Linked DNA regions of Bombyx mori. The protein of the gene in region 1 purifies or fractionates together with the protein of each later gene. This does not show direct contact. Links are inferred from orthologs where the notes say so. Each region holds a gene or a part of one and is shown on either strand. Other genes may lie near its edges. The genes, in order: Golgi SNAP receptor complex member 1 and syntaxin 5A.

Region 1 (3,828 bases):
AAAAATATTGTACAAAGGCGAACTTAACGCCATGCAGGCATTCTCTTCCAGTTAACCCTCGTTGATGAAGTGAAAGATCCAATAAGTGCGTAATTGTGTTAAAGTTAATACATGGCGATAATTTGAAGAATTATAGTAGACATGAGTAAAATGAACACTAGGTTTATATGTAAGTTAACTCAAATTTGTATGGAGTTGGAACGTTTGCCGCTAGGGGCGCTGTTCCAATTGCATACAAATTTGAGTTAACTCTTACGCTATCGAGAACGTTAAAAAACTCCCACTAACACACACTGAACAAGTTTTATATTACTTTTGGGAGGACGTCTTGAGAGTCCGCACGGGTAGGTACCACCGCCCTGCCTATTTCTGCCGTGAAGCAGTAAGGCATTTCGGTTTGAAGGGTGGGGCAGCCGTTGTAATGTAAATACTGAGACTTAGAACTCATGTATCAAGGTGGGTTGCGGTGTTCGCGTTGTTGATGTCTATGGTCTTCTATGGGAACGGACCCTTATCCGTTAGACCACAACAACTTAAAAAAACTTTAATCTGTATGTACATGTGTGTGTAGGTTCACCTAAAACTCGAAAAACATTCTAATCGATATGAAACCTCACCCAATATTTATAAGTCGATATGACCAGTCCGAATATAGTTACGTTAGTGACGGATAGGTGGCGCTGGTGACAGTGATTTCTATTTTTTTAACCATAGGTCGAATTGATATGAAATTCATCAATAAATATATAATTCTACTGTACGTGTGTATGTCACTGAACTCTTAAACGGCTGGACCGATTTGAATGATTTTTTTTTGTATGCGTTTATGTGGCACCTTGGATGGTTGATTCACAATTCAACCCGGCAGATGACGTTGCAGTCGGTATCTAGGTTATTTATATATACTGCAACTAAACGGCTGGATCGACTTGAATGAATTTTTGTGTATGCATCATTCATTCATTCCATTTATTTGTGCGTGCAGAATAACGTCTGTCGGGTCTGCTAGTATTTACGAATATATAAGAGAATGTGTGTGTGTGTGTGCGTGCGTGCGTGTGTGTGTGTGCGTGCGTGCGTGTGTGTGTGTGCGTGCGTGCGTGTGTGTGCGTGCGTGTGTGCGTGTGTGTGTGTGTGAAATTATCTAACATAGTTAGCTTCCTGAATTGTCTTATAGCTTTTATGTTTGAAAATAAAAAAATGTTTTAACATTTATTTACCTGTTGGCGATATCGTTGAACCTGGTCTGCATCCGTTTGAAGGTTTGCCGTTGCGAGGAGAGGTGGTCGCGAGCTTCCATCGCTATGTTTATTTGTTCATCGACTAATATGTGGGAACTGAAATGGGAAAACGACCAAATTAATACTCTGGCCAAACAAAAAAGAAAGACAAATACTAAATGTTCAGTTCTAAGAATCAAAATCAAGAGCTGTTCCGAATGTCTATTCATCATCTTTTTATTTATTTATTGCTTAGACGGGTGGACGAACTCACAGTCCACCTGGTGTTAAGTGGTTACTGGAGTCCATAAACGTCTACAACGTAAATACCGCCGCCCACCTTGAGATATGAGTTCTGAGCGGTCAGTATAGTTACACTACTCATTAATATGTAATACGCAGTAATATTCACTGCGCTACTGGTGTAGTAACACTATGACGCACTTTAATCTTCACTTAGAATTGTTTTCTGGTATCGTTTTTTGCGCTTGAATTTAAATTTATTAACTAAACACGTGTCTTATTAATCCTTGCTCGATATAGATTTTTTTAAGGAATTTTAGACCTGGTAACTAAGACCTTTAAGTCATGTCTTATTTTAATTTATATTCTTATTAATATGAAAAATGATTATATGGAGTGAAATGAAATGAAGTCTGAAATGAAGAAAATGAAGCGAATGACTGGGATGATTAATTTCTTAAATTAATCATCCCAGTCATTGAATGTCAAAGTCAAATTAAATGAAATGAGATGAGATGATATGGAATGAAATATAATCTCAGTAAAATGGTGGTCATTTACTGAGATTTTTTCAGTGCACTTTTTGGAGGAACCGGAGAACAACGGCTTTGTCTCTTTCTTGGCTTTATGCACTTTCACAGATATTGAACAGTTAATAAACCACCATTAATTTACATTTAAGCCCGAAGAAACACTAAATAGACAAAATAAAACAAATCACAACGACTTCACTCCTCGCGTTACCGCCAAAAAGTCCCTCGATATAGAGACAACAAAGGCATAGAATATACAAAAAAAGAAAAACCGTATATCACACCTGTGCAAATGGTTGGCTTCCTTCGCGTACTGGTCGCGTCTGCTGAGTCCCGCGGCGGGCGGAGTCGGGGAGCCGCCCCGAAGCAGCTCCTCGCGCTCGCGCCGCGCCGACACGCGGGCTGACGTGCGGGAGTACTCTTGCTGGTAGTCCTGCGAAATTATGGTTTGATACGACGTTTCAGTCACACGTACGTTTTTACTGGTGGCAGAACCTCTTGTGGGTCCGCACGGGCAGGTCCCACCAGGTATTTCAGCCGTGAAGCAGTAATGCGTCGATTTGAAGGGTGGGTCAGCCGTTGTAACTTACGGTAGGCGGCGGCTTGACTCTGCCCCTGGCATTACTGAAGTCCATGGGCGATGGTAACCACTCACCATATCAGGTCGGCCGTATGCTCTCTGCCTACTAAGGCAATAATAAAAAAAATTTTAGACTTTAGAACATGGGCAACAACCGGCTCGCGAGACTTTTTGAAAAAACCCAACGCGAGATCTCATACAACGCGAGACCTCATAGAACGCGAGGCCTACTATAACGCGTTGCCCTCTATAACCTGGGACCTCATACAACGCGGGAACTCATAGAACGCGAGGCCTACTACAACGCGAGACCTTATACAAAGCGGAACCTCATACAACGCGGGACCTACTACAACGCGAGGCCTCATATAACGCGGGACCTCATACAACGCGAGACCTACTACAACGCGAGACCTCATACAACGCGGGACCTCATACAACGCGAGACCTACTATAACGCGTTGCCCTCTATAACCTGGGACCTCATACAACGCGGGAACTCATAGAACGCGAGGCCTACTACAACGCGAGACCTTATACAAAGCGGAACCTCATACAACGCGGGACCTGCTACAACGCGAGGCCTCATATAACGCGGGACCTCATACAACGCGGAACCTCATACAACGCGGGACCTCATACAACGCGGGACCTCATACAACGCGAGATCTACTACAACGCGAGACCTCATACAACGCGGGACCTCATACAACGCGAGACCTACTACAACGCGAGACCTCATACAACGCGGGACCTCATACAACGCGAGATCTCATACAACGCGAGATCTCTTACAACGCGGGACCTCATACAACGCGAGACCTAGTACAACGCTGGACCCCCTACAACGCGGGACTCCCTACAACGCGGGACCCCATACAACGCGTTACCTCATACAACTCGGGACCACATACAACGCGAGCTCTCATACAACGCGGGACTTCATACAAAGCGGAACCTCATACAACGCGGGACCCCATACAACGCGAGGCCTCATATAAGGCGGGATCCAATACAACGCGGAACCCCATACAACGCGGGACCTCATACAACGCGGGACCCCATACAACTCGGGACCACATACAACGCGAAACCTTACACAACGCGGGACCTCATACAACGTGGGACCTCATACAACGCGAGGCCTACTACAACGCGAGACCCACTACAACGAGAGGCCTACTACAACGCGAGGCTTATTGAGGCACTCTGCGGCGCTCCCGTTTGGTGCCGCGCCCTGACCCGCGAAAAC
Region 2 (4,271 bases), on another chromosome or scaffold:
AATAAAAAATCCCACTATACAGAACATTTATTCATTAATTACAAACGTCATTCCTTGTGACTTCCTCTCTAAAATCACTTAATTATTAAATATTTACCGAATTTACAATAGTGTTTTATTCACTGCGGCATAAAACTATTTTATTTAAATAGTTCCGAAGAGATTTTGTCGGTAGCCTTTTTCCCGAAATATCTAAACAGAATGTCAATAATATGTTTTGATGACATATTTTAAAGAGGTATTTATAATTAGTGTCATGATCAATAGATTCCGACCGAAAAATGATTTTTCGGATGAGGGCTCCGTAATGAATTTAAATATATATAGATAATAGTTTTGGGGCATCGACTTTCTTGAGATCCTATAAAATACGTTTTAATTATTATTTTTGTATGTTTTAAGCATGATAAAATATGAAATTTTATATAAGCAATCATATTAAATCGCAACCCAAAACAGACGGCCGAACTGACGTGACAATGACATTTGGAGCGCTCAACATGGCGGATTTTCGGCCTCATTAGACATTTACGTATATTCATGTTTCATTTTATGTACGCACTGAAATACTGTTATATTATTTTCCTGCGAGTTAAAGTGCTGAGTAAGAACGAGATAGATATATGTTTATGTGTGTGCCTTCAAAATGGGTGCTATTTATATAAGCAATTGTACGTATAGTACAATATGTCGTGTCCCTACTATATAGGTCTATGATAATCTATGATAAAAGTGAACTATAAATGACAGCCCCAAACTAATGAACATTTTCCAAATAAGATATGACCTAAAGGTCTCTGTCACCACGTCATAAAATTAAAAAAAAAAACAAAAATGACAGCGACTTTTTGGCGGGAACGGAGGAGTGAAGTTGTGTGATTTGTTTTATTTTGTCTATTTGGTGTTTCTTCAGGTTTAAATGTGTAATAATGGTGGTTTATTAACTGTTTAGTATCTGTGAAAGTGCACAAATGTGGGAAAATGAAACAAAGCCGCCGGACGTCACTTCTCGGGATCCTCCAAAAAGTCCAACGAAAAAGTCTCAGTAAATGACCACCAATTTACTGAGATTATATTTCATCCCATATCATCTCATTTCATTTCATTTGATTTCATCCCAGTTGATTAATGTCTCAAATTAATCATCTTCATTTCATTTCATAATTTTTCATAAAAATAAGAGTATAAATTAAAATAAGACATGACTTAAAAGTCTTAGCTACCAGGTCATAAAATACCTAAAAAAAGAGAAAAAAAAATGACAGCGACTTTTTGGGGGGAACGTGAGGAGTGAAGTTGTGTGATTTGTTTTATTTTGTCTATTTAGTGTTTCTTCAGGTTTAAATGTGTAATAACGGTGGTTTATTAACTGTTTAATATCTGTGAAAGTGCACAAATGTGGTAAAATGAAACAAAGCCGCTGGACGTAACTTATCGGGATCCTCCAAAAAGTCCACTAAAAAAATTTCAGTAAATAACCACCATTTTACTGAGATTATATTTCATCCCATATCATCTCATCATGAATACTTGTATATTCAATTGTCCTTCGACATGTCCACCACCATTGTCAATACATTGACGGGCAAGTTTCATTAACTCGTTTTTAACGAGAGAAGTGCGCTTCTATGTCTTTTCACTTCGTCAAAAGCGTCCAATATGCGCTGTTTTAATTGTGCGAGCCTAACCGGCTCGCTTCTGTACACACATCTCTTAATTTCACTCCACAAAAGAAGTCCATGGGCGTGAGGTCAGGTGAGCGTGGAGGCCAAGCTACAGGCCCAATGCAGAAAATAATACATTTGCTTCGGTATTGTTCAGTATCCTGATGCAAAATGAAATCCTCGCTACATAATCAACGGTGGTTAATTCCTGAGATTTCCTGTAGTGATATGGATATAATCCGGCCTTATTAACAATCTTCCAGGCACAGGACTGGCTGTTGTTAAACCGTCGAGCAGTGTCATTTGTACTCCGTCGGGGATCCTCTTCAAAATACGCTAGTACATCGTCGTACAGATTTTGTCACAACGCCAGTCTTCCTCGTTCTTGACTATGTGACGGTGCGTGGAATGAACCGTGATCAAGCAAATGCTGGTAAGCATTTACCACGGTTCGCACATTTGGCTGTCGGGCGTTCGGGTACTCTTCCCTGTACATACGTACAGCTGCACTCGCGTTCGGGTATTCTTCCCTGTACATACGTACAGCTGCACTCGCATTTTCTCCACTCAAAAAGTACCCACGAAGCATAGCTACATACTCCCGTGATGTGAACTGATAAGCCATCGCATCAGGGAAAACTTAAACAAACAACTGTTGCAACGAAAAAAAGCATGCGCACACTTCCGCTAACAATTTAGTAGTGTTTAGGTTTTTGTCGTTATTGTTGAGTTGAGTTGACTTGAGTTTCCTGGAATTTATCAATGGAGCAGCGCCCCGTAGATACTAAAACCCTGCCGCACGTACTTTCGGTCATTGATTTAGTTATTTAGCATTTACCAATTATTACGTATTTTTATGGACAGTTCTGAGACTTCGTGTTTTTTTTATTTTTAACTACCATATAATATGATTAGTTAAAGATACTTAGAGCCCAGTTAATTTTTTTGTACTAATTTAAAAATAGTGGTGTATAGTTATAGGACCACGCGCCTGTTATGACAACAAATTTACTGAACATATAATTACGGTAACATTAAGGTTATTATGAGAATTAAATAACTCGCTTTTGGCCCCAAATTTAAAAACGACCCATTGATCATCACACGATATAATCTTTTGATACACACACACATGTTCGTTGGTGTCACTTCTTCGTCATTTAATTTAAATAGTTGGAAGTGAAGAGATCGACCTTCTCTATAGAAACATAAACACATTGTCATTAGTCTGCCAAAAATTGCTAAGACAAACAACTAGGTATACCCACATCAATTCTAACGAAGTGGTACAACAGTTAAATTAATATGCTTTTTGAGATTACATTGAAATGGCTGTTCCAGATGTTTGTATTGTGAAAATTTTGTTGAATATGTTTCAAATGACAGATGAAATTATTATTTTATTTCTATAGAATTTTTACGGCAACAATTTGTTGGCATGAAGAGAAACTAAAATCCATAAAAAGATGAAAATGAAACAGGACTGTAACCCAAAGAGTAAAAAAAGTAGATCTGAGATAAAAAAAAAATTAATTGTATTAATGCCGGCCACTGACATGCGCGCAAATATTCGTACATTGTACGAATGTTTGCGCGCATGTAAAGGGCCGTCAAACATTCATTCGCAAACCTAGCGGCTGTGCAAATGGGTTCGCATACTCAATTTGCGAACCCGTTTGCGCTTCCTCCTACACTTGTTTACGAATGTCTCACGAATTTCTCCTCCTTTTTAATTCGTCAATAGAACATTGAAAAGAAAAAGATTTTTGAATTCTTTCCCAGACATGATTAACAGCCATGCTGTTTTTATGGGATTTCTTTTGATGAAGATACGCTACACAGTAGACGTCACGAACTATGAAAACGGCGTTACCTTCGCAATCGTCGGCGCAACTGGGCAAGCGAATGTGTGGGAGACTACGCGAAGGTTCGAGGTTCGCGCGCTTTGATGTCTGTTAAAAAACCGACACAGCTTGGAAAACCACGAATGCAGCGAAAACTTTGCATAATCATTCGCAAATGTCGTCCTACACTTGCGGGTTTGCGTATTCGTGCGCATGTGAGTGACAGAGTGAGTAATGGACAAACTAAGCCAGAATAGTCTATGACTACCCCTACGTGTTAAGTGTATTATCTATGACTACGTGTCTGGAATCTATCGAGTGATTAAAAATAAAGGATTGTGGGTAGGTACCTACATACCTTATCTAAAAAATGGAATAGTGGGACTTGATAATTTAAAAGATAGATATATCATCGAGTTTTGAAAAGAATCGATGAGATGAAATGATAAATATTGTACACACATGAATGTACTATGAAAGTACGTAATTATTTGAACGCTATTGGTTTTCTAAGTAAGTATTGGAATGTAAAATTGTGAAATACTGCCTCAATTATGTAAATTGTAAGTTTTCATTTTCAAACAAAATATCCCCAATCATTAACAAGTAAAGCATATGTGTGGTGTAACAGTACTGTTTGACTTAATGTAATTTACTTATCAAACAAAGTTGACAACGTTTTTTCTGTAAAACTTTATAGGTGAAGACTGAAGACTACAATGCGATGCTTCCTCGAAGGCGAAATATAGGCGTTACAGAAAGA

Evidence for each region.
Region 2: the proteins of Golgi SNAP receptor complex member 1 (region 1) and syntaxin 5A purify together in Homo sapiens (affinity purification with western blotting; 3 studies listed by BioGRID, with this or other methods). This does not show direct contact. The link is inferred for Bombyx mori from reciprocal best matches to the Homo sapiens genes GOSR1 and STX5.

The regions. Positions count from the first base shown.
Region 1 is NC_085122.1:10,011,653-10,015,480, forward strand, and holds part of Golgi SNAP receptor complex member 1, read right to left. Parts: intron 2,430-3,828; coding exon 2,281-2,429; intron 1,338-2,280; coding exon 1,221-1,337; intron 1-1,220. UniProt on the Homo sapiens protein: Involved in transport from the ER to the Golgi apparatus as well as in intra-Golgi transport. It belongs to a super-family of proteins called t-SNAREs or soluble NSF (N-ethylmaleimide-sensitive factor) attachment protein receptor.
Region 2 is NC_085118.1:10,688,500-10,692,770, reverse strand, and holds the start of syntaxin 5A, read left to right. Parts: upstream 1-1,271; 5' UTR 1,272-2,072; coding exon 2,073-2,097; intron 2,098-3,446; coding exon 3,447-3,598; intron 3,599-3,769; exon of another isoform or gene 3,770-3,981; coding exon of another isoform or gene 3,982-3,987; exon of another isoform or gene 3,988-4,021; intron 4,022-4,208; coding exon 4,209-4,271. UniProt on the Homo sapiens protein: Mediates endoplasmic reticulum to Golgi transport.